Danio rerio: one gene and its partners. The protein of the gene in region 5 interacts with the protein of the main gene of each other region in a pairwise test. Links are inferred from orthologs where the notes say so. Each region holds a gene or a part of one and is shown on either strand. Other genes may lie near its edges.

What was found.
Region 1: the proteins of banp (region 5) and nrip2 interact in binary tests that used the Homo sapiens proteins (3 or more experiments, as listed by UniProt). The two-hybrid records come from large-scale screens. The link is inferred for Danio rerio from reciprocal best matches to the Homo sapiens genes BANP and NRIP2.
Region 2: the proteins of banp (region 5) and l3mbtl3 interact in binary tests that used the Homo sapiens proteins (3 or more experiments, as listed by UniProt). The two-hybrid records come from large-scale screens. The link is inferred for Danio rerio from reciprocal best matches to the Homo sapiens genes BANP and L3MBTL3.
Region 3: the proteins of banp (region 5) and mrrf interact in binary tests that used the Homo sapiens proteins (3 or more experiments, as listed by UniProt). The two-hybrid records come from large-scale screens. The link is inferred for Danio rerio from reciprocal best matches to the Homo sapiens genes BANP and MRRF.
Region 4: the proteins of banp (region 5) and camk2d2 interact in binary tests that used the Homo sapiens proteins (3 or more experiments, as listed by UniProt). The two-hybrid records come from large-scale screens. The link is inferred for Danio rerio from reciprocal best matches to the Homo sapiens genes BANP and CAMK2D.
Region 6: the proteins of banp (region 5) and ppic interact in binary tests that used the Homo sapiens proteins (3 or more experiments, as listed by UniProt). The two-hybrid records come from large-scale screens. The link is inferred for Danio rerio from reciprocal best matches to the Homo sapiens genes BANP and PPIC.
Region 7: the proteins of banp (region 5) and fam117bb interact in binary tests that used the Homo sapiens proteins (3 or more experiments, as listed by UniProt). The two-hybrid records come from large-scale screens. The link is inferred for Danio rerio from reciprocal best matches to the Homo sapiens genes BANP and FAM117B.

What each region holds. Positions count from the first base shown.
Region 1 is NC_133179.1:18,183,059-18,187,457, forward strand, and holds part of nrip2 (nuclear receptor-interacting protein 2), read right to left. Parts: intron 2,445-4,399; coding exon 2,094-2,444; intron 1-2,093. UniProt on the Homo sapiens protein: Down-regulates transcriptional activation by nuclear receptors such as NR1F2.
Region 2 is NC_133195.1:2,225,143-2,229,541, reverse strand, and holds part of l3mbtl3 (lethal(3)malignant brain tumor-like protein 3), read right to left. Parts: intron 3,238-4,399; coding exon 3,153-3,237; intron 2,473-3,152; coding exon 2,378-2,472; intron 1-2,377. UniProt on the Homo sapiens protein: Is a negative regulator of Notch target genes expression, required for RBPJ-mediated transcriptional repression. It recruits KDM1A to Notch-responsive elements and promotes KDM1A-mediated H3K4me demethylation.
Region 3 is NC_133185.1:9,922,745-9,927,143, reverse strand, and holds part of mrrf (ribosome-recycling factor, mitochondrial), read left to right. Parts: intron 1-3,134; coding exon 3,135-3,253; intron 3,254-4,399. UniProt on the Homo sapiens protein: Responsible for the disassembly of ribosomes from messenger RNA at the termination of mitochondrial protein biosynthesis. Acts in collaboration with GFM2. Promotes mitochondrial ribosome recycling by dissolution of intersubunit contacts.
Region 4 is NC_133176.1:15,575,750-15,580,148, forward strand, and holds part of camk2d2 (calcium/calmodulin-dependent protein kinase type II delta 2 chain), read right to left. Parts: intron 2,971-4,399; coding exon 2,876-2,970; intron 2,666-2,875; coding exon 2,543-2,665; intron 2,422-2,542; coding exon 2,338-2,421; intron 1,627-2,337; coding exon 1,584-1,626; exon of another isoform or gene 1,293-1,583; intron 1-1,292. UniProt on the Homo sapiens protein: Calcium/calmodulin-dependent protein kinase involved in the regulation of Ca(2+) homeostatis and excitation-contraction coupling (ECC) in heart by targeting ion channels, transporters and accessory proteins involved in Ca(2+) influx into the myocyte, Ca(2+) release from the sarcoplasmic reticulum (SR), SR Ca(2+) uptake and Na(+) and K(+) channel transport.
Region 5 is NC_133200.1:32,860,209-32,864,607, reverse strand, and holds part of banp (protein BANP), read right to left. Parts: intron 3,852-4,399; 5' UTR 3,846-3,851; coding exon 3,770-3,845; intron 3,680-3,769; coding exon 3,597-3,679; intron 583-3,596; coding exon 383-582; intron 1-382. UniProt on the Homo sapiens protein: Controls V(D)J recombination during T-cell development by repressing T-cell receptor (TCR) beta enhancer function. Binds to scaffold/matrix attachment region beta (S/MARbeta), an ATC-rich DNA sequence located upstream of the TCR beta enhancer.
Region 6 is NC_133183.1:636,428-641,361, forward strand, and holds the start of ppic (peptidyl-prolyl cis-trans isomerase C), read right to left. Parts: upstream 3,017-4,934; 5' UTR 2,922-3,016; coding exon 2,817-2,921; intron 1,377-2,816; coding exon 1,263-1,376; intron 344-1,262; coding exon 250-343; intron 1-249. UniProt on the Homo sapiens protein: PPIase that catalyzes the cis-trans isomerization of proline imidic peptide bonds in oligopeptides and may therefore assist protein folding.
Region 7 is NC_133184.1:13,264,202-13,269,290, reverse strand, and holds the start of fam117bb (protein FAM117B), read right to left. Parts: upstream 2,989-5,089; coding exon 2,361-2,988; intron 1-2,360.

The DNA of each region.
Region 1 (4,399 bases), on a different chromosome or scaffold from region 5:
GATCAAACTAAAGTAATAATGCTCATCTTTCAGCTTTGCCATCATTGAAAATTAAACAAGTTGCATTTAAAATGTATTAACACTGGAACAGTTGTTTTCAGTTGTACAATTTATTAATATTTCACTCCATAAGTGCTTTAAATCAAAAAAGCAACATTTCCAAAGATTTCCTTTGAATCTTTGAAAAAATCTTTGAAAAATCTTTGAAAAAATAAAGATAAAGATAAAAATAAAGCTCAAATCTCTAATCTCAAATCTCTAATCTCATATAATTCTTTGTTATCATTCATTGTAAGTTTCTGAAGTTGCTGAAAGTTTTGAAAAGGATGGCTGAGATAGATGTTATGTCACCATACAGTGAGTCACTTGCGCCCCAGTTACATCATCACCATCATCATCTCTATTATAAACTTGGCATGAGGTGTTTCACTGATTCGGGCTTTTTGGATGCACACACTGGCCCTCTAAAACCCTCTCAAACCCAACCATCGAGAACAATTGGCTGTGAGGAAAATAAACCCATGAGTCATAGAGAGCCAGAGCTTGTGTTTTGTCATCACAGCAAGCTGTTATCTCCACTATTATAAGTACAGACAACTGGGAAAAGACAGAACAGAGCCTAGTAGAGTTGGTAAAAGTAACAATATTCGATAACTCAATATCGTTTAAGGTCGGTTAAAGCGGTTTACGGTTTAGTCAGTTTAAACGATTAGTTCACTCAAAAATTCTCTTATTTTTGATAAAAAACATTCTCTTATTAAATACAACCTTTTTTTGTTTTTTTGCTTCTAAAAGTTTTACGTTTAATGAAAACTGGATGAATGACAACGTGAATTCAAGGTTCATGCTCAACATTGGGCCATGCTTGATGTTTTAAAAAGGATAGTTCACCCAAAACTGTAAACTCTGTCATTGTTTACTTCTGATGAACACAAAAGATTTTAAACAATGTTTAAAACCTGAAAAACATAGAATTCTACAGGATTGCTTTTCCCTACTACTGAAGTCAAGGGTTGCAGGTTTCTAAATAAATTAAGAGAAACCCCTAAAGAAACTACATGATGAGTAAATTCATTGATTTTCTTTTCGGCTTAGTCTCTTTATTAATCTGGGGTCGCCACGGCAGATTGAAACGCCAACTCATCCAGCACATGTTTTACGCAGCGAATACCCTTCCAGCCGCAACCCATAACTGGGAAACACCAATACACTCTCATTCACACATATACACTATGGACAATCTAGCCTATCCAGTTCAATTATACCACATGTCTTTGGACTGTGGGGGAAACCTGAGCACCCAGAGGAAACCTACGCGAACACAGGGAGAACATGTAAACTCCACACAGAAATGCCAACTGACCCAGCTGAGGCTCGAACCAGCAACCTTCTTGCTGTGATCCGAACGATGATGAGTAAATAGTGAGCAAATTTAAATTTTAGGTGAACTGTCTTTTTAAGACTGCCAATTGGGTATTTGCACAGCTAGTGTTTTTCAGACAATGATAAACTTCCTGTGAAAGCTTAATGTGACTTTTTTTCTATTTTATAAGGTTCCTTTTACAGCATCGTTGTTGTAATGTAATTACAATACATTCAGTTTAATAGACTTAAGCATTGATTTAGTTGCGCAAGCGTAAAATGAGATGAAAGACCGCGTAAAGTCTAGCGCGGTCAGGATCAGCAGACTTGCGTAGAAACTCCATTGAAAATACTGGGGTAAAATAAATTGACATATTTTAAAGACATATCGGGGGAAATTGAATTTATTGCAGTGCTACATGTCCAATCTGAGACCTATTTCATATTGTACATCTATCAGGCAGTGAAGATCACTGATTTTTCAAAAAATCGTGGCAATTTTATAATGGAAAGAGTTCACCGGAAGCTCTGAGGCTGGATAGCTGAAATAAAAAGTCTGTATGCATATACCCAATTGAAGATAAAAGCGTAAATATCGTCAATTCAGTTACCACTGTGCTGTTGTAATATTTCCCCATTGTATCAAAAATGGCATGAATCAGTGATATTCTTCAGGGTATCACATACATAGAAGTCAGAAATTCCAGTATTGTGAAAACACTAGAGCCTACCTTACACTGGACCACTAGAGCTGAGAGACTGGCTGCTCTTTCTCCCTCCTTGAGCTCTTTCTTCCTCTGCTCTTTCTGTTTGGAGTCAGTCTTTCCTCCTGCGTCACTGCTGTCTCCTTCATCTTCATCATCCCCATCCTCATCAGACCTCAGGCTCTTTTCACTCTCTTCAGGAGACTCGCGCTCCTCTGTGGAATCATCCACTGTGCTCTCGCTCCTCTCCTCGGGCTCTCCAGGCTCTTTGCTGTCTGCTAGGGGTGAGCGGACATGAGACGGGATATCCCGAGTCTCTCCACGCAGACGGGGGATGTTGCCTTCCAAGAGGCGCCGCTGCACAATGCTGTGGGGTTGCTGTACGGGGAGGGAAAGAGAAGAGAATTTTGTTAGTTGTGAGTTTGAGTTGGCATGTGAGCTTTTTCCTGCAATTGGTTTACTTTTGAAAGTATTATAAAAAAATGTGTGTGTTCATGGAGAATCTGGATGTTTTATTGTTGCATTTGGTGAAGACTGAGGCTCATGATGAAATGAATTAGTTTTAGAGGTCATATGTTTTTTTTTTTGGCTCATTATTTGACTCAAATACAGACTGAAAAACTAACTAATAAAAATAGTTATTAATTTACAGTATAAAACATTAACAAAGTTAAAATTATATTTAAATATTAAAAAAAATCATAAAAGTCAAGACAAGTCGAGCTTTATTGTCATTCGGCTACATGTGTGGACATACAGAGGAACGAAATGTTGTGTCTCGCAGGACAGCAGTGCTACATAAATTAATCATAAATACAAACACAACACTGGACATAAGAGCTATTTAAAAAACTATGCATAACTAACATATATTATAAGATACTTATCTATACACAGAAGGCTATACAAGTACTTTTAAATGAGACTGAGTTGTCCAGGATATTGTGCAAGAGAGGTAATAAAAGTGAATAATGTGCAAAAGAGGTATTTAAGGCTTAATACTGTGCAAAAGAGTTATTTTAGGTTAGCAAGCAGTGCAACATGATTGTGGTACATTTATAGTAAACATCGTTTTCATTATTGAGTTCTTGTAAGATGGAGTTTGGATAAAGTGTCAGGTGCTTAAAAGAGAAAAGAAGGTTTCTATCAATCAAAGTTTATTTCTAGAGCACACTTAATTACAACCTTTGGTCGACCAAGGTGCTGTACAGTAGCAGTAGCAGGTAAAAACAGCAATACACTATAATAAAAACAACAATATAAAACAATAGTAATAACTTTAAGAGTTTCCAAGAGGGAATACGTTTAGTATAACCTAGGGACTGTTAAATGCACTCGGAAAAGAAAGGTGAGTCTTTAACGTTGATTTAAAAATAGATAGAGTGGGTGCTGTTCTGATTTTTAATAGTAACTTATTCCATAGTTTCGGAACCACAACTGCAAAAGCTCTATTGCCCCTGCATTTGAGATGAGATCAGGGTGTTTGCAATAGATGGCAGTCGGAATTTGATCTAAGCGATCAGGTTTGGGTCTTAGTAGTGATCAGATTAGAAAGATACGGTGGTGCTAGGTTACACAAAGTTTTATAAACAGATAAATGTTATAGTCTCCTTGGAAATGAACCGGAAACCAATAAAGTGATCGCAATATTATTTGTGGCTACTCGTGAGCAAACAGGCAGCCACATTTTGGACCATTTGAAGACTAGAAATAGAAGATGAAGGTTGACCAATATATAAAGTATTACAATGATCTAATCGCGTGGAAATGAAGCATGAATAGTCGTTTCAAAACTCTTCCTGATTAGGATGTTCTACAGGTGGTTTGTAAACCCAGTCACCTGAATGAAGCACAGTTTGAAATGCACAATGTTTCCAAGATACATGGAGTGATTAAGAAAGTGTCTATAGTGCAAATGTGCAACCTAGAGTCAGAGAGATGAGAAAAAAAAAGTCTTTTCTACAGGTGGTTTGTTAAGCCCACTCACCTGTAATGGAACATACTCAAGAATGCATGGGGGTGGATAAGATTTCAGAGGGGGGTAAGTTTATACTATATTACTGTAAATTTATGTTTGGCAACTCTGAGTTTGTATCATGTTAATATTCTGTAATGTAATGTAATTACATTACAGTTACATTACATTACAATACATGTTAATATTCTGACATTTATTTTACAATAACTTAATAAAAATAAATAAAGTTCCACTTACTGTAGGTGAAAAAAGCCAGAACAGCACAAAAAAAAACAGTAATTATGAGGAAAAAAGTCAAATCTAGTGTGAATTTTCCTTTTTTTTTTTTTTTTTTTTTTGCAATTGTGGATTTATA
Region 2 (4,399 bases), on a different chromosome or scaffold from region 5:
AACTGCTGCGACAAACTGGGAAATGTGTAAAGAGTTTCTTAAAATTTAACAAGATTTTTCACTTTATGTAGACAAAGTGGTGTTTACGAGACTAACTCATATTGTGCGCCAGAGAATCCTTTTAAAAACTTGTCACTTTGTGTAGACGTAGAAGTGTTTAGTAGGCGAACACTAATGCTGAGTTCAGACTGCATGAGTCGTGTCACAGATGTTTTCACACTGCATGACTATCTGGGTTACCGTTTGGTTACTGCTTTGTTTACACTGTAAGATGAACCGGCAACAGGGGGTTTCACACTGTATGACTTTAAAATAGGATGAATCGACAAATTCGGTTGGTGGTTCGAGCCTCGGCTCAGTTGCCGTTTCTGTGTGGAGTTTGCACGTTCTCCCTGCGTTCGTGTGGGTTTCCTCCGGGTGCTCCGGTTTCCCCCACAGTCCAAAGACATGTGGTACAGGTGAATTGAGTGGGCTAAATTGTCTGTAGTGTATGAGTGTGTGTGTGAATGGATGTTTCCCAGAGATGGGTTGCGGCTGGAAGGGCATCCACTGCATAAAAACTTGCTGGATAAGTTGGTGGTTCATTCCACTGTGGCGACCCCGGATTAATAAAGGGACTAAGCCGACAAGAAATGAAGACTCGCCAAATTCACACAGCATGATTTGAATTGCCGACAATTCAATTTTTCTACTGCTAAGATGACATTTGTCATTATCAGATTCCCTCTTTCATTAAATTGAACAATATATAGGCTAGAGTAGTTACACTGACACTGTAAAACATTTATTCTCATGTACAACACTCTGTGTTCGCTATGACAGAAAAAGCTTTAATATTAAATGCTTGTCGTAATCATAACTCTATAATGCGATATGAAATTTTTAAATGATGTGGTTCATACTTCACGCGCGGCTCCCAAACGATCGCTCTGTGCAACAAACTGAATGTTATTCGCGACTGTATTACCTGATATTCACAGCCTATGAAGGTTCTGTTTAGAGATGCGCGGATGGGCTACTATTTCATCCGCAACCGCATCATAAAACTCATTATCCGTCCGCCATCCATCCGCACTAACATTTTTTACCTATTTTTAAAACCGCACCCGCCCGCCATCTGCTGACTGAGCTCTTTATTTGAATGGCTTATTCCTTTTTATTATTAAATGAATGTTTCTTTATTGATTATTAGAAAATAGAGAATGACTTTAATGACATGCAGTTAATCCAAACGTGCAAGTCAAATCCAGCATTAATTGACGCTTTGAAGTGACGCTAAACAATACGAGGACGTGTCGTTTCACTTGATTCGATTCCTTGGTCCTTGAGGTTTTTTTTTGCGTCCTTCCCTCGCATCCTATAGGGGTGGAAAGACGAGGAAAGAAAGCAAGGAAAGGAAACGAGGATACACAAATAAGAAATGAGAAGCACCCTATAAAGCTCTCAGAATATCAGCAGTGAACTCCGTCTCCAATCGGTGCACAGGGACAAAAATAAATAAATGAAACGCACTGTACTGTACAATTTTTTTTTATTATAGTAACCTAATAGAAAACGCATTTTGACACATCATTTCAACATTCAGACGAGAACGCCTGGCCTCTAATGCGCCCTGCTGCACTGAAGGAGCGCTCGCTCGCGGCACTTGTTGCTGGAATGCATAGAATTCTCTTGGCAAGGTGCTGTAGACGTGGGAATGACTGCCTTGTTTCTCCCAAAAAGAAAGTAGATTTTCCTCTGCTGATCCGTCTATTCTTAATTTTGTAGAGGAAGACTTCTGTACTTCATCCAGAATTAGTGTATCCGATTCCTCCTCTCATTCTGTGAAGTCAGTCCTAGGCTTTTTCGTTGGTGCGCCAGCTATGTGTACAAAAACAGTACAACCGCCCGCCACCCGCCCGAATTTAATTAAAATATTATTTTTCGTCACGTCATCCGCCCGATCCGCGGTTTATCCGCGGAATAACCGCCATCCGCGCATCTCTAGTTCTGTTCACTAAAGTAGACTTCATTCACATGCGCCCGCTCTCTCTATGGTACCAGCTCACAGTCAGCTCACATCTAGTGTGATTTCACGGCCGTGAATACGTCATTCCACGAAGAAAGAAATGGCATTTTCGAGTGATTTATACCTGATAAACAGTATGTGACTCTTTTATTAACATTTGGAGGAGTCCATATTGCTAAACAAAGTATATAAAACATTGTGAAGACTTGTGCGGCCGCCTTTTCTTCTCTCCTGAACTTAAACATATGATTGGCAGAATTGTAGAAATGCTGGATTAAGATCGTTTATATGGGTGGAATCGAGATCGCAGTTTTTTCTGATTAATCGTGCAGCTCTAGTGCGCGCGTGTGTGTGTGTGTGTGTGCTGACCTCTTTGAAGAGTTTGCTGGGTGCAGCGATGGCTCTCTCCTGCTCCAGGTACGAGGCCCAGCACCAGGCCTTCTTCTTGCCTCCATACGGCACCGCTGCATCATGGGAAATATCAGAGTCAGACTCACCTAGAAGCATCTGTTTGTGTGTGTGTGTGTGTGTGTGCGTATGCACATATGTGTGTGATTGTCTGTGTGTCTGAATGCATGTTTAGGTGTATGTGTGTGTATGTGTGTCTATGCATGCATGTGTGAGTGTTTCTGTGTTTATGTTTGTGTCTATTTACATATGTGTGTGACTGAGTTTCTGTGTGTGTGTGTGTGTGTGTGTGTGTGTGTGTGTGTGTGTGTGTTTGTATGTGTGTGCGCGTCTTTTCTCTGTGAATGTGTACGTATGCATCTGTGTGTATGGGTTTGTGTGCATTTACATGTGCATGTGCGTGTGTGTGTGTGTGCACATAGGTGTGTGATAGTCTGTGTGTCCGTATGCATGTTTAAGTATGTGTGTGCTTCTGTTTGTGTATTTGTGTCTGTGTACATAAGTAAGCATTTGTGTGGGGGATGTTTGTGTGTGTGTATGTGTGTCAATGTAGGCATGTGTGAGTGTTTCTGTGTGTATGTTTGTGTCTATTTACTTATGTGTGTGACTGAGTTTCTGTGTGTGTGTCGGTTTGTGTGCAATTACGTGTGTGTGTGTGTGTGTGATTCTGTGTGTCTGTTTGTGTACGCATGTATGTGTGTGCATGTGTCTATGCATGTGTGTGCGTGTGTTTCACTGTATCGGAGCAGTGCTGCGTCTCCTCTGCGTTTCTTGCGTCCTCGTGTCGCTCCTCTGGCTGGTCGCCTGCTTTCTTTCTCTTCCTGTTACACACACACACACACACACACACACACACACACACACACACACACACACACACACACACACACACACACACACATATCTGATGTGAAACCTGAAAGCCAGCAGATCAGAAACACACACTTGACTCTACAGTATTTTCTGTGTTTTTTCTTTCGACATAAAAGTGTACAATCACTTGTGATCTTATTTCAGATTAGTTGAAGGATAAGCTCATTATATATCGTATAATTAGCTCATTATTTCTGAAAACAAAACAAATCTTTTTACTTGTCTAATCTGTAATAAAGCTGTGAAAAAGGACAGCATTGAAAACATCTGCTTTACAATGACGTCCACCAAGTTAGCTGGATTCAGGGTTGCCAGATTGGAAATGTCAAAGTATCGTATCAGACCCTCAAAATTATCGTATTTGGAGGAAAATTATCGTACACGAGTCAAACTGAGAGTATACAGCTATTATCTAGACACATAGCGTTTTGACACAACGTGCAAATTACCACAATACGTTAAAAAAAAACTAGGTACTTAATGGGAAGGTTCAAACTCCACCTCTGAGTTGCTGTAATTGAATGTGGCATGTTGCCAGATGTTGAGGGATTTATTTTCTGAGGTTTTGTTTTAATGAGACTAACTTTGTAAAAAAACAACATGTTCACAAGACGCATTTGAATGGGGAAAAAACGAGAACATCAAGGGAAAACTCTTGTCCCGCTCACCTTCCTTTACAGCACAAATTGTTTTAACATTATTGCTTAAAGGGCACCTATGGTAAAAAATCTACTTTTCAAGCTGTTTGGACAGATCTGTGTGTTGGTATAGTGTATAGACCGTCATACTGGGGTGATATGAACACACCCAGTCCTTTTTTTTCAATTTAACTACAAAAAAAGGGTCGGCCAATTGGAGCTGTTTTCAAATCGATCGCACCATTACGTAGGTGTGCGATCCCCCCGCCCACCGAATTGATTGACAGCTGCGCGCATTAACATGTTCCGGTAGTCGCGTGTATATGTCAACAAGACCAGACATACGCAAAGCAACCGGGAATAAAAGCTCTGTTCTGTTCGCTAGGATCAGCAATCATCATCAAATCAAAAGCGTTTTACTTCAGCTTTACTTCATCAGCACAGCCGCGTGTCAGAACAATTATAAAAGAAG
Region 3 (4,399 bases), on a different chromosome or scaffold from region 5:
GGTTCTCTTGTGAAAGATCAAAGTGTAATGGAGTGTTTCAGTGTTCTCCTGAAGTGTGGGATAAAATAAGGTAAGCCTGGGGACAAAGGGTGAGAGACAGAAACATTGCTGCGTGAGGTAAGGCAGATGAGGGAAGGAGACATGCTGGCGAAATGTTCTGGTTTTCTGTCTGAAGAGAAAGACTGGGTGCTTTCATCCCTCAAAGAGAGCGAGACATGTCGTCACAACAATCATCGAAATGAGTCTCTTCGTTTGCAACCTTTTATTTTTTGTGACTGGTAGGGAAAGGATGCATTAACTGATAGGAAAAACATACATAATTCAAGCAAATGTGTTGTTGTCAGATGGAGTGTAGGCAGTTATTCCATTGTTTGTCTTAAAAGTTCTTCCCAAAATGAAATGTCATTTAGAACCTGCATGGCATTCTTCTTCTGTCAAAGAGAAAATAAGGTATTTTGAAAAATGTCTCTGCTTTTTTGTCTGTACAGTACAATGGCATTCCATGTTGTTATGGGCCTTAATGACTTTCATTGTATGGGCAAAAACAATTGCAACATTCTTTAGGTCAAAACATTCTTTTTCTGTTCTTGCATTTCCTGGGCATGATGTTTCTAGCATTGTGCTTCACTGTTTTAGCTTCTGGAATGGCCCTTAAACAAGGTTATTTTGGCCTAATCATAGGCACCTTAAGGGTACCCCTTAGCTTTGGACATTTCCAAGGGTCCTGATTAGAGAGCAGGCTCAACATAGGGACCACACTACACAAATGTCCAGAAGAGTGAAGCCAAAACATATTGCCAAAGCTCATCAGTGTTCTACAGTCTTGCTGCTATGTGTAAAAGTCAAGCTGTAACATCCTGCTCTTTCTCGTGAAGCTAATACGGAAGTAACTAAACCTGCAATTCATTGAAATTCTGTTAGGCCTGGATCAAATAGAGCACATTTCTATTGAGCCCATTGTTAAAATGTCTAACTTTACAGCAGGTTTGTTTACAGCCTAGTCCAAAAAAAAACTATTTTGGTTCAAATAGCTATTATTTTTTTTATAACTCATCCATTTCATTTATATTAAGTTATATTAAGTCTGCATAATTAAGGGCGTGGCCACTTGAGTAACAGCGAGGTCTCGATGGTCGCATTCATGTCACCTCAGCTAATTCCGGCTGATTAGCCGCTGAGCTCAGCATTTTTGCTTTGTTTTATGTGGGTTCACACAATTAAAGTTGCCTTTTGGAATTATTTCTTACAATTATCAGATAATATAGCATGCTGTGTGCACTTAATTGTGCACACAAACCCTTCACGCTGCCTCCATTTTTCAGGTGAGTGAAATTCTAATACTTGTATACCATCTTTCTAAATGTGTTTGTTTTATTTAAGATTACTTATCATTTATATTTTTATTTAGACCTGTAATGCACTCCAGAATCTGACAGATTAATACGCTGTAGGCTATAGATCAGTCATCTGAAACGTTGTCATACAATGTTATGCCTGGATGTCACACTGTATATACAGTATGAAAGCCTTGCATTTACTAACACAGACTATATTTGAAGTATTTGAGAGTTATTCGTGTTTTCTTTCTATAAAAAATGTCATAAGAACAGTGCTTAGTGGCTCAATTTATCACAACAGTGATTTTAAAAGACTAAACACTTTATTTATACAGTACACAACCAAGCACAAATGGTCAGAACACAAACGAGTCGCAGGTAATGAAGTATTAAGCGTTTCTCCCAAAGAAAAGCTCATCTAAGCAAAATGCTAGCAAGCGTCTGTAGCTCCGCTCACGCTCTGCCTCTTTGCTCTTTTTTGGTAGCCCCCGGTGGGCAGGATGACACGCGCACAAAATGGTGCGGTTGGCCACGCCTACTTGTAGCTTTATTTGTGCTTTCAGAAACGTGGGTGAGATCAAGTATACTACGTCCATATCTTTTACTGTCTATGGTGAAAGCTCTTCAAAATACAACATTTAATTACATGTTTTTATTCCAAATTCTTCAATCGAGTGTTTGAAATAAATCCTTCTAAGAGATAGTTCTATAGCCATGTGATTATTAGTCATATTATTTCAATTAAAGCAGTTAAATCTTCTTACCGTACGTTCACACCGAAAGCGGCGAGAGCGTCCAAGGTCACTCTGGCCGCCCTGGCGACAACGCTCTCTGCCTTCAGCTCCTGCGGCGAGAGCGTTAAAACTCGCTACATTGATCTCATTTTAAAAGGAGCCGTTGCAGCATATCAGTTACATTCCTGCATAAAACATGTTTCTAGCGTGAAAATGTTGCGCACTTCTTATCAAATTCATACAACAATGGAAGATCAAGTTGCGTGTGATGTGGCTTTGCTCTATTTATCCAATATGTGTCCATATGTCTGAAATATCCTGAAGCAGCAGTACTGTTTCGTACTTTCACATCGCGTGAGATTCCCGCTTTTTTAAGATAAATTTATATAACATTAATGAACGTCAGTAACTCGCCAGTAACTTATTTAATGTATGTTCCTGTAGGAAAAAATTGTAAATAATTGGAAATCCGGCGACCACAATAATCAAACCCTTGGGAACAACTGTGGTTGGAACCAAAGTTCACAGGTCTGTGTTCTCTGAACTGCTATCAAGCGATGGACGTCTTCATTCTGATTGCTTGCCGCCGAACCGCGTCATAGCTCATTACCATAAAGTTGACTTCATTTCAACTCTCCTCGACGCTTACGCCGGCGAAGACGCGCCGCGCTGCTCCTCGCCGCCTATCGCCGCCGGCTCTCATTGAAAATGAATGACTTCCGGCTACTTTGACGCTCTCGCCGCTTTCGGTGTGAACGTACGGTTATTCACCAACCACTCTGGGAAATTCCTGGGTGCCTTCTTCATGGGTGTTTGGAAGTTGTGCGCGAGAGCGCCCTCTGCTCTTCAGAGGAGATTTACTAGTGATCACCAAAACTGTCCTTCAGTGACAAGATGTGCATGACAATCATAGCTTTTGTTTAATTGTGATTTTATTCCATGTCAAACATTAAATATCGGTTGTGATTTGAACCCTTTTTGCTTTATGTCCTTAGTGGATAATGGTTGAATAATTGCAGCGAATCCTGTTGGCTAACAAAAGATTTTGTTCTTATGTGTTCAGGTGCACTGGACCACATTACAGTCACCACAAAGGATGGCAAATTTCCTCTCAACCAGCTGGGCCAGATATCCATGAAGTCTCCTCAGCTACTTGTGGTCAACATGACTGGCTTCCCAGAGGTATGGAACCAAACTACAGATGGCTCAATTCATACTGTTGCATCCAAAGTCAAGCACACTCAAACACCTCAAAAACACACTTTTTCTCCTACTGAAACCTGAGTGTGATGGACTTTTTCCAGCCTGGTTTCACAGAAATTGATTGATTGTTGGGGGAAGCCCTTTGTTCTTGGAGAACGATTGAAACCTAGGCCAAGAGTCTGTGGTTAGCTGTCAGGCCAGGAAATGACCGCAAAGTGCCCTCTGGAACTTGGACCCGAGTTAATGTGTGATATCTCTCTTTCTCTCTTCAGCGTCTTTTCCCTCTCCACACATTATGAGATGCTGTCGTTCTGTTTTTCCTCTCCTCTTTCTCTCATCACGACACTCAATGTTGAAATATATGGGATCTTTCTGCCTGATGTTCAGATAACCCTAATGAGATTAATGCGCTCTCCTTTTGGCCTATGTCCACTCAATTCCTAAGTTTCTGGTTTCCTGGTAGCTCTAAATTCACCAATCTACCTTCATCATCCATCCTGGGCGTCTTCCAGCCAAAAGGTTTCTCATAGAGAGTAATGTACAGTCAGTCGGTCATTATTACAAAATACACCTTGATAGGATGATCAAAACCAAAGCAAAAGGATTTTTCTTCACCTCATGGCGATAAGTTTACTTTTATCCATTTGGCAAGCACTTTTATTGATGTTTTTATCATTTTTTCCTTGGGAATTGAACCTATGACCAGTGGTGCTGCTAGTACAATGCTCTGCTAAGCTACAGGACTTTAAAAAATGTGATTATACTGTTACCCACTGGTCCTACTGCACCAAACCCAGCCTGAGCTGGGATCGAACTGTTGATTCTTTGTTTGGGAGTCGGTTGCTCTAACAAGGAAGCTAAAGACCATGGCCTCTAGTGTCTGTTGCTAGAACACCTTTAGAGGTCAAAGGAGTGAGGTTTACCTGCTAAGAACTTCACTAGCTGGCCTCCATTACGCTCATCCCCCTAAACCTTACACCCATCCCAGACGTGCCCCCATGTGTAACCCACCGGTTCTACTGCACCCAACCAATCTGAGCTGGTATCAAACTGGCAATTCTTTGTTTGGGAGTCGGTTGCTCTAACATGGAGTCTAAAGACCATCCCCTGTAGCGTCTGTCTCTA
Region 4 (4,399 bases), on a different chromosome or scaffold from region 5:
CATACACACGCTTATAACCTCCCGGTTGGACCATTTTAACTATCTCTATTTTGGGCTGTCTGAGTCTTAGATTGCTCGCCTACAGTTACAGCAGCAGCTAGATTTTTAACAAAAAGCCTGAAATATGCACGTCACTCCTATTTTGAGGTCTCTCCATTGGTTACCGGTGACACAAAGAATCGAATTTAAAAAACTTCTCTTTGTGTTTAAAGCCCTACATGGTCTAGGCCCGCATTATTTATCCCAACTGATTGTTATTTACACTGCATTCAGACATTTGCGTTCCGCTGATCAGTTTTTATTAAAAGTTCCAAAGGCCCACCTCAACAGTAGGGGCAAAAGTGCTTTTGCCATATCAGGTCCTCGCCTCTGGAAAGCCCTGCCATTAGAACTAAAAAAGGCTTTGTCACTGCTTATTTTTTAGTCTAAAGTAAAGACTTATTTATTTTGTAGGTCTTTTGAAGCAAAAATCCTTCCCGTCAGGAGTAGGGGGGTGGGGGGATCAAAACGTTCCTGTTCTTAATCTTATTTAGTGTGGTCAACTGTGGTAGCATCTTATAATTAGGCAAAATTTCAATTAGTTTTTTGCTCTTTTTATTGTTACACTTTCTATGTTTTTTCCTTTTATGTGCCTATTGCTGTTACTGTTTTTATGCCCATATCGTCAGTTTATTTTTTCTCTGTAAAGCACTTTGTGCAGCCTTTTGGCAGTTGGAAATGTGCTATATAAATAAATTAAACACATTTGTCCTCGAAGAAAGAGTTGCTTTAGAATACAGATCATCACAAATTTAGTGCAGACAACCATACAGTTATGACCTTATCTATAACATATTGACAACTGTATTTTGCTTAGAGCTAGTAAATTCTACACCCTTAAATTATTATACCTGATTTGTAAAAGTAACATTGCAAAATGCACATAAACATATCCAGATGAACATGTAACCAGATAATGAGCAAGCATTCAAGATACTTGTTTCATTAGCAAGACAGTAAACATTTATTCTTCCAGTAAGTTAACATTATTTTTGTGATTACATTCATAAAGTACTTTTTGATTATTGTGGCATTAATATAGTTTAAACTAATGCAAATGTATTAGTTTAAAAATTATTTTATAGACATTGTACACAAAACGTGAGTTGACGATATGAATGTAATCTGTTTGATAACATGCAAACAAGGGTAATTAGTATCTCAGAGTAACAGGGAAGTGTGTCAAACAAGCAAACCAGTTCACTGGTTAGAGTAAAAACACATCCCCTTCTTATGTCCAATTAGACTCTTACCTCACGGGACCCACAGGACCCCCCCAAAAAGAGACAAAGCAACGATAAACAGGAAAGAAATGTTAAATAAAATGTCTGAAAAGTGGTAGTGTACCACCTCACTTCAAAACAGACTTGTTCCAAAAAATTAAATCAATAATAAACAGCAAATTAAACACAAAGCAAGTTATATGAGAAAAAAACTATAGCATTTTGAATCAAATTTACAGTATTTGTGCAGGAAAATAAAAACGGAGGGAGTTTATTGCAGCTGTAGAATTCAAACGTACAGTTCTGCAGAGCCAGACGTACCTGAGAAGTTTCTTGTGACCAGGAGAGTGGTCAGAATTGCACCCTAGTTGCAAAAAAAAAAAAGTTTTGGAAATGGAAGAAAAGGGGAAAAAACAAGAAGCAGGAGAGAGGTGAAAGAAAGAATAGCACAGAAGCAACAGCAGAGTGTCATCTCTTTTTTGTTTATTTGCAAGATGAAATACTTTTTCTAGTTTGAAACCTCTTATAATGACTTTTCATAAATACTTACAAAATGTAATTTAAGTATAATTAGCCAAAAAGCAATACAATAGTGTACTGAAATACTTTTAAAGCACAAATACCCTGGCCTTGTTTCAATCCATTTATATTTATTAACATGCATTCAAATGCATTATTTGTGATCGCTGTGATTTTGACAAAACCCCTGTCTCCTATTTAATCAAGCACTATATCACTTTTGCAGGAATGCTCATATGCATGACATGTCCCGATTCAGAACACTCACACTTGTCAAACGAACCGGGAAACAAGCCAGGACACGGTTCAGATAGCATAGTGTGAGTGCACCCTAAGCCCTGTCTGTGAAAGCAGGCCTTTGATTCATCCACTTGTAATTACATTGATGAAAATGCATATTAATACCTGGTGTAAACAGAGTCTCTGTGACTCGGATTTAGAGAAAAAGCAAGTGCACACACAATGGTGAAGCTCTGCGAAGTAAACTCTGAAGGTGTGGAGAAAGCTAAAGCTTGGTCAAAAGTAGAAAACTGTAAAAGATCAGTTAAAAACTAACCTTGAGTTTCCTTCTGGCGTTGAATTTCTTCAAGCACTCCACGGTTTCCTGTCTGTGCATCATTGAGGCAACAGTGGAGCGTTGCTGAAGGAAGAGAAAGAAGATAGAAAAATTAGTCATTAGTAAAGATTAAAACAGTCCTTTGTTGTACTGTGTATAGACAAGCTTGTTTACTAGTGTGTGTTTATGTGTTAAAAAAACATACGCAGATCCAGGGGTGTTTGAGGGCTTCAGCAGCTGTGATACGTTTAGAGGGATTGATAGTCAACATCTTATTAATCAGATCTTTAGCTTCAGGGGTCACGGTGTCCCACTCGGGAGAAGGAAACTACATTTGGAGATAAAACAACACAATTGAGCATAGTTTCATTATTTTGTATGAACATATATGCTGTGGAACCCAAGATATCATCAAGTTATCATCAGTGTTGCCCAATGGTTATCAACAGTCTCATCATATTCTGCATATGTAGCTCTAACAGTGTCTTCTTGTATAGTGTGAACACTTTGCAGGAGAAATCTTCAACTTCAGTCTTACATCATAGGCACCAGCCTTGATCTGCTGATAGAGGCGATGCTGGTCTTCATCCCAAAATGGCGGATATCCAACCAGCAGAATGTAGAGGATCACACCTGTGAGAACCAGAAAGCTCCTATTATGGCCACATTCAGAGGGGAAACTTCTTCACAGCAAATACTTCAAATAAATTCAGCTTTAAAATGAGTCTGATGAAATCAATAGTTTTTTTAGGTCATTACAGTCGGCATGAAATCAAAATGTACTCTTCTTATTTTTATGTGTACATAGTAGTGTTTGCTAAAACATTGCATCTGTGCAATTCATTATTTTGTACAAATTATTTTGCCCTTATAATGTTTTATCAAATACCATAACCATCTCTCCCCCTTGAAACAACTTTTTTTCACTTCTGGTCACATGGAATGCCTTTAGGGCGGGGCTATCAGGGCGTGTCCTATTTCTGCCCTGCTTTCGTCCATCTGTTGATCCTTCATTTTGTTAGCAACACCCATCTTCCAGCAATCCAATTATTTTCCAATTTTTCTCATTGTAGGATCGTTTTAATCAGATGTACGCCATGACATGGGAAAAAGAACATCTTAACTTCCCTTTCATTTGACTTCAAAGACAGTATATGCAAGAAATACTTTTGTGCAAATAAAAAAGAGACCTTCTCCGACTAATCATTCATCAACACAAGTTAGCATACAGTATATAGGCAGTAGAATGGCTACAGAAGCCAGTGTTACTGGTGGCACTGAGCTTCATTAACATATTTTGTTTTATTTTTATTTTTATTTATTTTATTTTATTATTTTACTTTAAAAAAAGGAATGACAGCGGAATGAACCGCCAACTTATCCAGCAAGTTTTTTTACGCAGCGGATGCCCTTCCAGCCGCAACCCATCTCTGGGAAACATCCCCACATACACACACACACACACTATGGACAATTTAGCCTACCCAATTCACCTGTACCACATGTCTTTGGACTGTGGGGGAACCCGGAGTACCCGGAGGAAACCCACGCGAAGGCATGGAGAACATGCAAACTCCACACAGAAATGCCAACTGAGCCGAGGATCGAACCAGCGACCCAGCGACCTTCTTGCTGTGAGGCGAACGTGCTACCCACTGCGCCTTATTTTATTTTATTTTATTTTATTTCATGCCAAAACAGATCATCAGTATCATTCAAAAGCTCCCATACATCTTCCTGATTATGTTATGTTTGCAGTGAAATTTCTCACATTTCTCACATTTCTCACATTTATATCTCTGCCCAAGTTTTTTGCTGGTATTTTAATATTTTTTTTTGTTTGCTATTATTATTATTTTTGATAATATTTGTGCTGTGTATTATTTGAAGTTTAGTTAACTATCATTAAAATATGATATATATATATATATATATATACTTTTACAAAATAAATATACAATATACAAAATAAAATAAAATAAAACAAAAACAAATAAAAAATAAATAAAATAAAATAAAATAAAATAGGCAGACATTGTCTTTTGTATGTGTGCATGAATAT
Region 5 (4,399 bases):
TCGCAAGTTGACTTTTTTTGTGGTTGTAATAAAGCAAATTACAATTGGACTAGTAAAATAAAGAACTACAAAACCCCAAAAACCTAGCAACAACAACAAAAAGAATTTAAATAAGCATTAGATGTAGCGTTACATGGACATCGCAAAAATAAGACCTGTGCAAAAATATTTAATACCTAGAACAGCGAATTTAAGACTTTTTAAAGCCATACATATCGATTTTTTAATTTAAGACTTTTAAGACCCCGCGGGGACCCTGTTGTCATTTATAACATATGTTGTACGCCGTAAAAACGGGCAGAAATAAAGAAAAAAATAAACAGAACCAACCATTTAATGAATGGTGCTGGTGTATAAATCACATGACCTATGGTCCACTTACCAGCGTACTTTGTCACAAGTCTGAGTGGCTCCGAATGGGGACCCGGACACCATGGGTACTTGAATCGTTGACTGGTTCTTGCCCATCACTGTGTCCAGTTTCTCCACTAAACCTCGACAGGTCACCTCAAGAACCTGCAGCTTTGCTTCCATACTGTCCAGCCGCTGGCAGATCGCCTGACTGATGGATATCAACATCGACTGGAGAAACAGAAATACAGAAATTGGTAAAATATCTAATTATATTTAATACCAGATGAAAATGTCATTTATTGATAGATGAGACCCACATAACCATCAAGATTTTTGCACACTGTTGAAGTGTGTGAAAAACTTACACCTGAGCAATTCATGTGACTTCATTCTCCATACAAGAGGCGTCTTTAAGCTGCCATCATTAAAAAAAGCCTTTTATATAAAGTATTTAACACGTTTTAGGCAAGGCAAGTTTATTTATATAGCACATTTCATACACAGTGGCAATTCAAAGTACTTTACATAAACAGGAATAAAAAACGACAAGTTTAGAACATAAAATGCAGACAATAAAAAATATTAAAAACAGATAAAAACAAATTAAAATGAGTTAAAATAGGTTATAAAAACATGAAAAAGAAAACGAAAAACATAATAGTGCAATCTGTCGGACGCAGCACAGTGCTTATACAGTAACGGCACAGCTAAACAGATGTGTTTTCAGTCTCGATTTGAATGTGCCTAATGTTGGAGCACATCTGATCATTTCTGGAAGCTGATTCCAGCAGCGAGGGGCGTAGTGGCTGAAGGCGGATTCACCCTGCTTTGACAGAACTCTTGGAATTTCTAGTTTATATGATTCTAATGATCTGAGAGATCTGTTAGGTTTGTATTCAATCAGCATATCTGTTATGTATTGAGGTCCTAGGCCATTTAGTGATTTATAGACCAGTAACAATACTTTAAAATCTATTCTGAATGTAACTGGGAGCCAGTGTAGAGACCTGAGGACAGGTGTGATGTGCTCTGATTTCCTGCTTCTGTTTTAGTAGTTCAGTACTTTCGCCTTGTGTCATTTCATTGCTATTACACAAAATTTATTTTTTAGATTTGTTTTGTTTTATTTTTGTTTGTATTGTTTGGGTTTTTACCAAAATCTGGTTCAATTCCATGTCAACTGCTTCTTTAGAAATATTATTCCCAACAAAAAACATGACGTGCTGGATACTTATTTTCCCTGCTATATATTTTTAAATGCAAAACACACCTATTTTTTACTGTTGATTTTTATATGTGCATGCACGAGGATGACTGTTGACACTATTGAATATTCAGATTTGGAGCCCTGATTTTAGTTCATTCCAAAATTTAAAATCTATCATCATAACCCATATGTAGGCCCGTACGGAATCTGCGAATTCACAGATTTCCACCAATTTTTTTTTTTTTTTGTCTATTTGTTTAACTATGTAAATGTGAGTGAATATATATTTTATATTACCTGCAGTAATATTACTTAATAATTTGCTAATGTTTATATGATTTATTTAACACAGTTTGTAATGTAACAGTTTGTAATGTAACAGTCTTTTTAGTAGATATATTAAATGAGAAACTGACTTTGTTTACCAAACAAATGGGTTTGCTTTGTAAACCTTAAATTTAAAAAAAGGGTTATATTTAATTATTCCATGTATTTAGTTACTTTATTTTCAAAATCATTTAGCATAAATTTGTTTTTACAAAATTCCGCGCAGAAATAGCAAAAAATGTCAAATTCTGCAGACACACAATTGTTGTTTTTTATGGTGAACATTAAACTCACAACTCATCAAACAATGAGCAAGCATGCTTGACTGATGAACAATAACCAAAAAGGAGAATCATTGCTTCAGTTTTTACTCCATGATTATTATTTATATGCAGAGATGTATAGTAACGAAGTAGAACTACTTCACTACTGTTCTTAAGTACTAAAAGGCTGTATCTGCACTCTGCTGGAGTATTGTTTTTTTCTCCTATTTCCACTTTTACTTCAGTACATATCTTCAATGAGTTTAAGGGTACTTTCATACCTAGACCTTTGTTTCGGAACCTGTCTCGTTTGCAATCTAGCAATCGCGCTCGGATCTGCGCCAAAACAATCGCTTCGAGATCGCTTGAATGAGATGGTCTCAGCTCGATTCAAACGAACTCTGGAGCAGATTAATTGTAGTGAGAAAGCAATACAATCCGAGCCCGGCTATATCACAGTGTTTTATGGATATGAAAAGAGAATTATGAGTAGGGTGGGAGGTCATTCAACAGACATTCATATATATATTTATAGATTTTAATGAAAAAAAATTCTTGTGTTGTGAAGACAAAATCGAATTATGTATGGAAAGCATTGTCAGTGCACCGAGATATCGAATTGAACCGAATCGATAGCATGATAATGGTAACCGAACCAAACCGTGAGACCAGTGTAGATTCACACCTCTACTCCTTACAATTATAGACCTTTTTCTTGGCTGCTGCATGGAGGGCACCATAGTGACCAGTGTCTTCCGGCAGAATGTTTAGAACTCCCGTTTACGGCGTTTACAACCGTAATTTGCAAGCCGAAAATGGGTTTCAATAGCGTTTTGAGTGAATTACAGAAATTGGAGTGAAAGGTGTGTGTTAAAGCTGTTATAATCTGTCAGATCTGTGGTTCAAGCGAGAGAAAAACGTTATCCTAGTTCATATAAACCGTAAGCCATGTTTCTTTTCGTTCGCTTAATCATGTGCCCCAAAAAAAGATATTTCAAATAAGCAAAACAATATGTCTTTTGACTGCTTTCTTTAAGAACTACATTACACAATACTTGTACTTTTACTTACAATATTTAAGTACAAAAAATGTTGAATACTTTAGTACTTCCATTTAAGTATGGTGCTTGGAGCATTTCAACTTCTACTCAAGTCACTTTTTTGATAGAGGACTTATACTTTTACTTAAGTCTGGGTCTCTAGTACTTTATACATCTCTGTTTATATGTGAATAAAGGCCAGAATTACATCTGTCCATTATATAAATAAGACTTGGATTAAACTGCTTTGTTCATGCTTTTTTGATTCCTTTTTAATTGTCGAATGAAGCATTATAGTTTTGGGAAAATAGACCTTCAAAAGAGGAACCAAAATTTGGTTTGGGACAACATGTGGACGAGGGTGAGTGATGGTGAAACAACCCTTTAATGACATTAGAAAGCTACCTTGATAGATGTTTCTTGACTGATCTCAATTCTTGCTCGTTTCCTCCCTGGTTGATCAGAGTCTTCATTATTCTCCAGAACATCTAGTATAAAATAAAAATGAATTACATTAGTAGGAAACCACAAACACTTTCATGTATAAACATATATGGTATTTTTTAAGGTGGACTTACCTGTTTGGTGTCCTTCATGATTTAAATCCGCCACTGCAATCTGGACTATTTCCACTAAATCTTGCTCTGACATCATTCAAACCTGCATTTCAGAAAAATGTAACCAATAAATAATTGGGGATTGCTTCGGATTGGGTTATAATTAAGTTATAATTATAATCAACAAAAGCAATTAAACTATTAGAGGATAAATAATTGAAAAACGATTACAAATAATTATTCATTTTCCTTCGAAACGCCCACTTATCCAGCATACGTTTTACACAGCTGGTGCCCTTCCGCTGCAACCCAGTACTGGGAAACATCCATACACACTCATTCACACACTTTTACCAATTTAGTTTGTTCAGTTCACCTACAGTGCATGTCTTTGGACTGTGGGGGAAACCGGAGCACCCAGAGGAAACCCAAGTGAACATGAGGAGAACATGCAAACTTCACACAGAAATGCTAAATGACCCAGCCGGGACTTGAACCAGTTGATGTGAGTTGGCAGTGCTAACCACTAAGCCACTGTGTCACCTACAAATAATTATACAATCACCTAATATGGGAAAAGAAATATTATAAATAAGTATTACTTAATTACTAAATACTTTAACTGGGTTTTGTCCATAACAAAACAATAAT
Region 6 (4,934 bases), on a different chromosome or scaffold from region 5:
AATATCTGTTTGAATAGAAGTGTATGGGTGTTTCCCAGTACTGGGTTGCAGCTGAAAGGGCATCTGCTGTGTAAAATGTATGCTGGATAAGTAGGCAGTTCATTGCGCTGTTGTGACACCTGATAAATAAAGGGACTGAGCCAATGAATGAATGAACTGCAATATGAATACATTTTCACCAGATGACTTGAATGGCTCATTATGGAAATAATTACTAATTTTCAAAATCCAGGAGATCATGATCCTCACCCCCTGTTCCATCTCCAGCAGTGAAATCTCCTCCCTGGATCATGAAATCTTTGATAACTCTGTGAAACTTGCTGCCTTTATAGCCGTAACCCTTCTGGAGAGATGGAGAGAGAGAGAGAGAGATGATCTGTGTTATGCACACACACACACACACACACAGCGTTGATCATAAATGAGTTCACCCGTCACAGATCTCTCTTTCACAATCATATTTTGTACAGGATGCTTTACAGTAATATAATTGGGGTGGATTTAGTAATTTGGAGGCCCTTAGAAATTCCAGCCAACAGTTCTAATACCCACCCTTTGTAGTTTTATTTATTTATTTCTAATTTATTATTATTTTTTTTTTTTTATCACACTTAATTTCTGTCTTAGTGCAATCTCTACATTTAATATAATGTGTTTTCCTGAAGTGAATTCACAACTAAAAATAATAAATAAATACATAATTTTCATCTGATTTGGCTGAATTATAGCCAAATTACACTGCCAAATGAGTTCAAATGTGCTTTAAGGACAGCAGAGGGAATGTTTTGGAGTGGCCATCACAAAGCCCTGATCTCAATCCTATAGAACATTTGTGGGCAGAGCTGAAAAAGCTTGGGCGAGCAAGACAGCCTACAAATCTGACTCAGTTACAGCAATTCTGTCAGGAGGAATGAGCCAAAACTCCTGCAAACTATTGTGAGAAGCTTGTGGAAGGAGACCCAAAACATCTGACCAAAGTTATACAGTTTAAAAGCAAAGCTAAAATATACCAAGGAAATGTGTGTAAACGTCTGACTGTCTAGAAATTAATAAAACATTTTCTCATTATTCTGGCAATTAGCCAATGTAAATCATTTAGGTAATCCTGACAGACCAAAAATGTTTAGTATCATTTACCGTCATACATTAAAAAAAAAAAAAGTTATGTTCCTTTTTTTAGAGTACATGTAAACTTCTGCTTTCAACTGTGGATGTATGTATGTATATATATGTATGGTTAAAGTTAGGATGCAGAGTTTTACCTCTCCAGTGGCCAGAGACACAAAGTTCTGTACGGTCAGAGGAGCTACTTCACCAAACAGACCAATCACGATCCTGCCAACCTCATGACCACCCACGGTGATGTCGAAAAACACCTGCAGCACACACACACACACACACACACACACACACACACACACACACACACACACACACACATTAATATACAGACACATTCATACACACAAACATTCATAGACACAGACACACATGTTCAAAAAGACATGTTAGACACACACAGACCCACACACACACAAATGCACACACAAATACAGGCACGTACATCCAAACACACATGTATACACACTTACGCACACATGCATACACACATATATGCACACACAAATACAGACATATCCATACAAACACATTTATGTACACATGCATGAACACACGCATACACACATGCATATACACACAAACACAAACAAATACAGACACATGCATACAATCACACATGCATAAACAAACACATACACACACAGACACACATACACACGCATATACACACACAAATACAGACACATGCATACAATCACACATGCATAAACAAACACATACACACGCATATACACACACAACTACAGACACATGCATACAATCACACATGCATAAACAAACGCATACACACACAGACACACATACACAAGCATATACACACACAAATACAGACACATGCATACAATCACATATATGCATACATACACATGCACACACACAGAGCAAGAGCTAAGTGTACAGTTTGCTAAATATCTGAAGACATTATACACCGTATGCAATCAGACTATTTAAATAATATTAAATAACCCTTCATTTAAGGTGTCTTTACACAAGCTCCATGTATTACTACAGTAATTACACACAACTTATCTGCAATATTAATCATATAGTAAGTACACCCAATTTTCATAAATTTCTTTTTAAATATTTTTTTCTTGACTTTATTTGTTGGTTAAATGTTACAAAGAAAAAAAACACTGATCATTTTAAATTATATAACTTAATAAAAAACAAAATGGACATTTTAAGTAGCATTTAAAATACGTTTTACTGTTTGTTGAATTGTTTTGCTTTTACTCCTGTTGATATTGCACCATAAAAGACAATATTGTGTAATTATACAGTACTGTCGAGAGGTGCACGCGATAGTTTTCCACCACAAGATAACCCAAACATTTATTTTGATTTATAATTTTATTTTTCAGTCACAACACATGAGGATGTCATTCTGAATAATTGCCTTTTTTATAAAAAAAAATGCATAATATTATTTGGAATAACTACAGAATTGAAACACTGCCATCACCAACTCTTATTTCAGTGTGCCTGAAACTCCTCAAATGTGACGCATTCCAGTGAAGCGCGTCGCGTCAAGAAGAACGCAATGAACAGACGCATGCGCACAGCACACAGCGATTTGTACTTAAATAGCGATCGGCTGTAGGTTTAGTTTGTGTGTGTGTGTTGTGGATGATGATTAGGATGATGATGGTTGTGTAGTGTTTGCAGAAGATGCTGCAGGACGCGCGTCTCACCTTGTCCGTCACTTGCGGTCCCGTTCGCGTTTTAAAATCAATCGCGCTGCTTAAACACGGCAGACCGAGGAGAGAAAACGCGTGCCAGAGCCGAAACCGCTGCATCTCTGACTGAATGTATGAATATAAGGGTCTGAGTGTTATTAGGCTGAAGAGAATCTGCAGATTCCTTGCGTCTTCCTGTATGACGCTCCTCCTCCAGCGCGCACGCGTCATGACGCACAGTGTCGGAGGAATACACTCAATACTGTACAAGGATGGCGGAGAGTAGCAGCACTTTGTGCATTTCTTTTCATAATGACAATATATTAAACCCACATCAATCAGATACTCGCCCACATTGGCATAACATGTACATATGATAACATCAAAATCAGAACAAGCTTTATTGTGTTTTCCTGACAGAAGTCAACAGAATGACAGTGACAGAGCAAAAACACAGACAATGCAGGAATAAAATTAAATACACAATTTGACATGCATGTACAGTATCTAATATATCAGGCCCTATAGCCACACTGCAAAAATGCTTTTTTAGATTTTCTGTCTTGTTTCTAGTCAAAATATCTACAAATTCTTAAATTAAAAAGCATTTTCAACACAAGCAAAACATATTGTCTTGTTTTAAGAAATAATCTGCCAAAATGAAGTGAGTTTTTCCTAAAATCAAGTTAAATAATCTGCCAATGGGGTCAGGAAAATAATCCTGTTTTTCAATTTGTGATAAGATTATTTTGCTGACGCCATTGGCAGATTATTTAGCTTGATTTTAGGAAAAACTCACTTCATTTTGGCAGATTATTTCTTAAAACAAGACAATATGTTTTGCTTGTCTAGAAAATGCTTCTTGATATAAGAACTTTTAGATATTTGGACTAGAAACAAGACAAAAAATCTAAGTAAAAAAAGCATTTTTTGCAGTGCATGGGTGGGTTCGGGTGGTTCAAAAGACCCACACCCCACTGACGAAGGTCCAGAATTTGTCTCATATACATTACTCCCAAAATCAGAGGGGAATAATAGCTGGATAACAATCATGTAGTAGTGCATAAACCTAACCATAAGCATAAAACGAAAATAAACGGTAAACGTACCCCTAAGTCTGATTGGGATATTGTTCAAAGATCAACATAGATGTTAATTCAAAAGCACGAGGGTGAAATTAGGTTGTCGACGAGGGTATGAGTATGACAGTAGACTAATGTTCTAATCCAGGTGGGTCTAATCATGTGTGCGTCCCAAGCTGTTCTATCTGGTTCTGATTGCCCTTTTCTCGACCCCCATACTATGCTGGCTCTAAAGGTCCTGTGTTCTGACCACCGGATTGTGTTCTAATCTAACTGGTTCTGTCTGTCATTAGTATGCAGATTCCAATAGTTTGAATTGGATTGTTGCATTTGATTTTGTTCAGAGTTACTTTCAAGTGTAGAAAAACATGTGCTTTGTTGACCAATCTCCAGTCCATAATTGACTAGTCCGGCATTAGTTCTGAAATGTGTGGTTGTCAAGCTAGCTGTCTGGATTCAAACTCTTACAACATGCGCTGTTATGGTAGTTTTAATGTGGAAAAAGTAAGTGGATCAGTTTACCCCGGCTGGTTCACTTTAACACTTTGATTTTTCTTATCTGTCTCAGTTTACCCCGCAGCTGGGGTAAAGTGAGACACAAGAAAACTTTTTTAAAACAATCATATTTTCACTTTTCTTTATCCTAAATACAGTCTGATGAATTCCCTTGCTAGAAAACATTCTGAATTAACGAGAAATGTGTTAATTTTACTGATATATAATTTTAGCTGGCTTACAGGGGAGCAAATGTAAAAAGTGTCTCACTTTACCCCGCTCTCCCCATACATCAGCTCATGTGTCCTATTTTGACTGCTATGCCATCATAAATTATGAAAATCACCTATCTAAGAAGGTGACGCGGTGGCGGAGTGGGTAGCACGTTCGCCTCACAGCAAGAAGGTTGCTGGTTTGAGCCTTGGCCACGTCAGTTGGCATTTCTGTGTGGAGTTCGCATGTTCTCCCCATATTCGCGGGAGCTCTGGTTTCCCCCACAGTCTAAAGACATGTGGTATAGGTGAATTGGGTATGCTAAAAAATTGACTATAGTGTA
Region 7 (5,089 bases), on a different chromosome or scaffold from region 5:
TGTATATCAGAGGCTACATAAATTATAGCATCATTCTGTCTAAAAGCGTGTAAATGATAAACAATAATTTTGTAAAAGAAGGTCAAAATATATATATATATCGTTTCGACATTGATATCGCCAATGTGCGCATCTGGAATTGCCACATTGCAAGATATGCAATGTTGAGTCTTAATTATAGTTGACCAGAAGCTACAGAACACGTGATTTATAGAGTCACTGCTAAGTCTAACCATAATAGAGTGAAGGTTTATCATTCGCATGTGTTTTTAAGGCCTGTAACTGAGCATTTTGAGAGAGTTTAAAACATTTGGGCACAAAAAAAATATGATGTTTGGAGTTAATTATTTATACAGATTTTATATGATTTTTGCAAAAAAAAACTTACTTAGAAGTTATGTTTCTAATACTAAGCTAGTTTTTTTTTTATTTAGGTGAAAACAAAACAATAATTTCACTCAATCTAAGGATTTTTAGATATCTTGACTGAAAAAGAGACGAATAAAAGTAAGAATCACAATAAATTAGCATATCAATATTTCGTCCCACCCCTAGTGATTATTCAATTTCTGTACCTTAATACTGTCAGACTAATTATTAGAGAGTTATTTAAGCCATCTTTTAAAAACTGAAATATCGAAATAACTGATTTTTCCAATATCATGCAGCCCTTGTCGAAATTCACACCTGAGATTTAAATTCCAACTCCAAATAATCAATTATTACGTCAAATAAATAGTATTTCAAAACTGTAGAAAAATAAAGTCACAAAAACTATCATGAAATTATATAAAATATAAAATAATGGGATCTAAACCAAGTTTATTAAAAAGTCTCCTTTAGCTTGATTCCACCAGCTTTATAAGGTGCACCCTGAAATGCTCAGGGAAGTTCCCATCTAAGCTTGACACTTGGGAACATCTCAGAGCATCCTAGAATGCACGTCAGGAAACTGGAATACATCTAATTATTATTATTTTTTTAATTTATGAATAAATCTACAGATTTTAAAACTACAGGTGTTAATACATTAAAATGGTAATTTATTAGTGATGCATTACAATGGATGTTTTTCTCAATACTGGGTTGGAGCTGGAAGGGAATCTGCTGTGTAAAACATATGCCAGAATAGTTAGCGGTTCATTCCACTGTGGCTACCACTGATAAGAAGTGACTAAGTACAAGGAAAATTAATGAATTTGTTTGTTTTTGTTAAAATACAAATTAAAACATTAAAAATACATGAATTAAATTTTTTTTCATTCATTTAAATTGTATATATAAAAATTCTAATTATTTAAATACATTTATTTAAAATTGTGTAGTTGTGTTTAAATACACACACACAACCACCCCCCCTCACACACACACACACACACACACACACATATATATATATATATATATATATATATATATATATATATATATATATATATATATATATATATATATATATATATATATTTACCAAACAAAATAATATATATACTATTTAACAAATGAATAATTACATTTTAATAATTATTCATTAGTAACACATTTTATGTATTTTAAAGTATTAGTTAATTAAATAATTTATAGAAATAATAAAAAACAACTATTCTATAATACTTATTTTAAATAATCTGGATTTTAATGCATAAAATGTAACAAAAAAATTGTAAAAAAAAATAAATAAATAAATAAATAAATATATATATATATATATATATATATATATATATATATATATATATATATATATATATATATATATATATATATATATATATATATATCCAGAAATATTTTTGTTACATTTTATGCATTAAAATCCAGATGATTTAAAATAACTGTTATAGAATAGTTTTTTATTATTATTTCTATAAATTATTTAATTAATTAATACTTTAAAATACATAAAATGTGTTACTAATGAATAATTATTAACATTTAATTATTCGTTTGTTAAACAGTTTTTATGTATAAAATATGAACATGTTAATAATGTGTAATAACTGTTATCTTTATTCATAATAACAGCAGAATCAGTCTACTAAAAGATATAATTAGTCATATATGTTGCTTTCAGAGTTAAAAAGGTTAAGAATCTCTGTTCTACATTACACATGCCATGCATATTAATGCAGGTCATTTTTAATGCAACAACAAGCCTCATGAGTTCCTTCCTATTATTACGAAATATGAGAGACATTATTACTACTGTCAAATATTCAGAAAGCGGAAATAACGCCCACAAACCACTGGAGACCACGTGTGTGTTTACAAGTTACCACAGTGATGTCAAGTAAACATGTGGCTCATCACTTCTGGCTTTATGCTAAATTCAAGACTCAAGAGCTCTACTGTAGGATTACCTGTGCACACAGGTGAGCTGGGACTGAGCCTCTCTGGAGACAGTCTGTCATGCTCGGGGGTCTGGAGGGGTTTGGCTCTGTGACCGCAAGACCACAGTGGCGAGGATGAAGACGGAGAGGATGACAAATGAGAGGTAAAGGCTGAAGGGTCCGAGCAGCCGCAGCTGGTCTGCTGTGAGGGGGAGCAGCACTGCGGGCCCAAGTGCACACCTGAGTGGGCTGAGGACGAGGATGATCTAGGGTTTGTCGCGTGGACAACGATAATGGGGCTAGTTCTTGATGAAGATGATGGTGAGGGAGAGGAAGAAGCCGCTGTTGGTGTGATGAACGCAGAGGAAGTGGACGTGGCTGCTGAAACGGCACTGGAGGAAAGGGATCGCGTGGGGCTCCGGCTGTGAGCTCCGCTGCTGTGGCATTTACCGTTACCGGAGGATGAGGAGGACAGAACCGTCCGTGTCTGTAGAGGGTGCTGTGGCTGCGTTTTCAGCTGGAAAGGAACCGTGGCTTTCATGGGCAGCAGGCGACCCAGTAAATTCACTCCAGCGGCGCTGATCCCCGGGGATCCGATCGGGCTTCCCGTGGTCACTCCGGACGTCGGAGATCCGTTTTTGCGAACTCTTTGAGACATTCTGTTCGCTGGGAAATCGCGCAGAAGTCAACAATAACAGTTTAAACGTGCGTTTAAGACCGCCTGGGGTGGTTAATGCTCTTTGGTGCTCTTGTCACTCCATTTAAAGACAGTTTTAAGCTTCCTGACTGGCACAGCCGAGCCGTTCCGCGAGCTCGAGTAAACTGAGGGAGATTCAGAGCCACGCACCGTCAACTCGATCCAGCGCTCTGCCTCCTTGCCCCTGATTGGCTGGTCGCTCTCCACTCACAACTTCTGATTGGCTGGGAAGTGGATTCTTTAATTTCGTGAGCACGCACGGTTTATTATGAGGAAAATGTTTCATGGTTTCGCTGTGACGAAGGTAATTAAGGTTTATGAAGTAGGTTAGCAGGATTTATCAATATGATATATTACTGTCTGCTTCTCTTGAGTTTAAAGGCTCTTAAAATAGCAGTTATCAACTATGTCTGACAGCTGAACAAGATGCTGTCATTGTTATAGAAATATTATTAAATTTATTAATAAATAATCAATTTATAATTAATAAATTAAGATTAGAAATATATTTTTTGTCATTTGAATGCTGTAAATTGTCATTTTAATCAATTTAATTTTAAAGATGTCTGTAAAAAAAATACAGGCCCGTAGCCAGCCTGTTGAAAGGGATGTTTTTTTTGTGTGTGTGTGTGTGCTGTTATTCGCCTCATTTTCTATTCAATTATGCATTTTAGTAACACTTTAAGAACTATGCTGGATCAGCTTGTCGGACGGTGATCATAACCTCACTTTTTTGATGCACAAAAAACATTTCCTAGTTTTGTCAAAGTGATCATCATACTATTTTACTACGAAGTATTTATTTACAAACTTGGATTTAAACTGTAAGTTAATCCAGTTTTATAAATATTGTTATGAGATTAGCATTTAAAAATTGAATAAAGAAATATGAAAAAAATACTTATTTTTAAATACAAGTGTGTTATAATGCATTATTCTAAAAATAGTAATCTGGTAAAACTTGTTTTAAAATAAAAACATTTGCCTATGGGCAAATAAAAACTGGCCAGCTCATTCAACTTTCCTCAGTCAGAATTTGGCCACTTAATTCAAATTTGTATAAAAATTTAAGTTGTCTTAAAGCCTTCTTCTATCTAGAATTTTCACAATGTGTGATGGCATAGCAGTCAAAAATGAGCAAATGAGACAAATGAGCTAATATAGGGGTCAGATTCTGGACTTAGTCACCCGAAAACCTCCAAATGCCCCCCAGCTACGGGCCTGAATCTAAAGAAAATATAAAAGAAAAAAGAAAATATAAGAAAAGAAAACCCGCTCCCAACATAAAACCACAATATTTTATAAATTCAGTATTTACTTCACATTAGTAACGTATGTTGTCTCATACATCAAATCTTCTGTGATCTACACAATCACACTACAGTGAAATAAAAAATACATGAAATAATATGCCTTTACTCTTAAATCTAATTGTTTAAAAAAAAAAAAAAAAAAAAAAAGGGCCTGTCTAGGGCCTACGTGTTTTTCCGTCTTAAAAAATGGTTGGACAGACAGACAGACAGACAGACAGACAGACAGACAGACAGGTAGATAGATAGATAGATAGATAGATAGATAGATAGATAGATAGATAGATAGATAGATAGATAGATAGATAGATAGATAGATAGATAGATAGATAGATAGATAGATAGATAGATACTTTCTAAACAGTAACATGCTCACTCTCTGGTGAAAAGTAATAGCATTTGTGTGCGTGTGTTCAGAAAGTAAATGAAAAACACATGATCACTGCAATCAAGGCAAAGTAAAGCAAATCTTTTATCTAAATGCACTGAATGAATCTCTTTATGAATGTCTCTGCGCTGTTATCTGAATTGAAAGTGCTGTGCAGGAAGGAACACATGCTTTTGGTCATGATATTGTGGCTGCCTTTACTACCCTCATGTGGCCAGTCAATAAACTGAAACTTCAGTGCAAATACTTTTTATATATATATTTACCCAGAAGCAGCTCATTTTCTACAAGGAAAAAGGGACACAAACGACAAGCAAACTTCATATACAGGCTTTCATTAATATAATCTTTAATCAACTGAGTA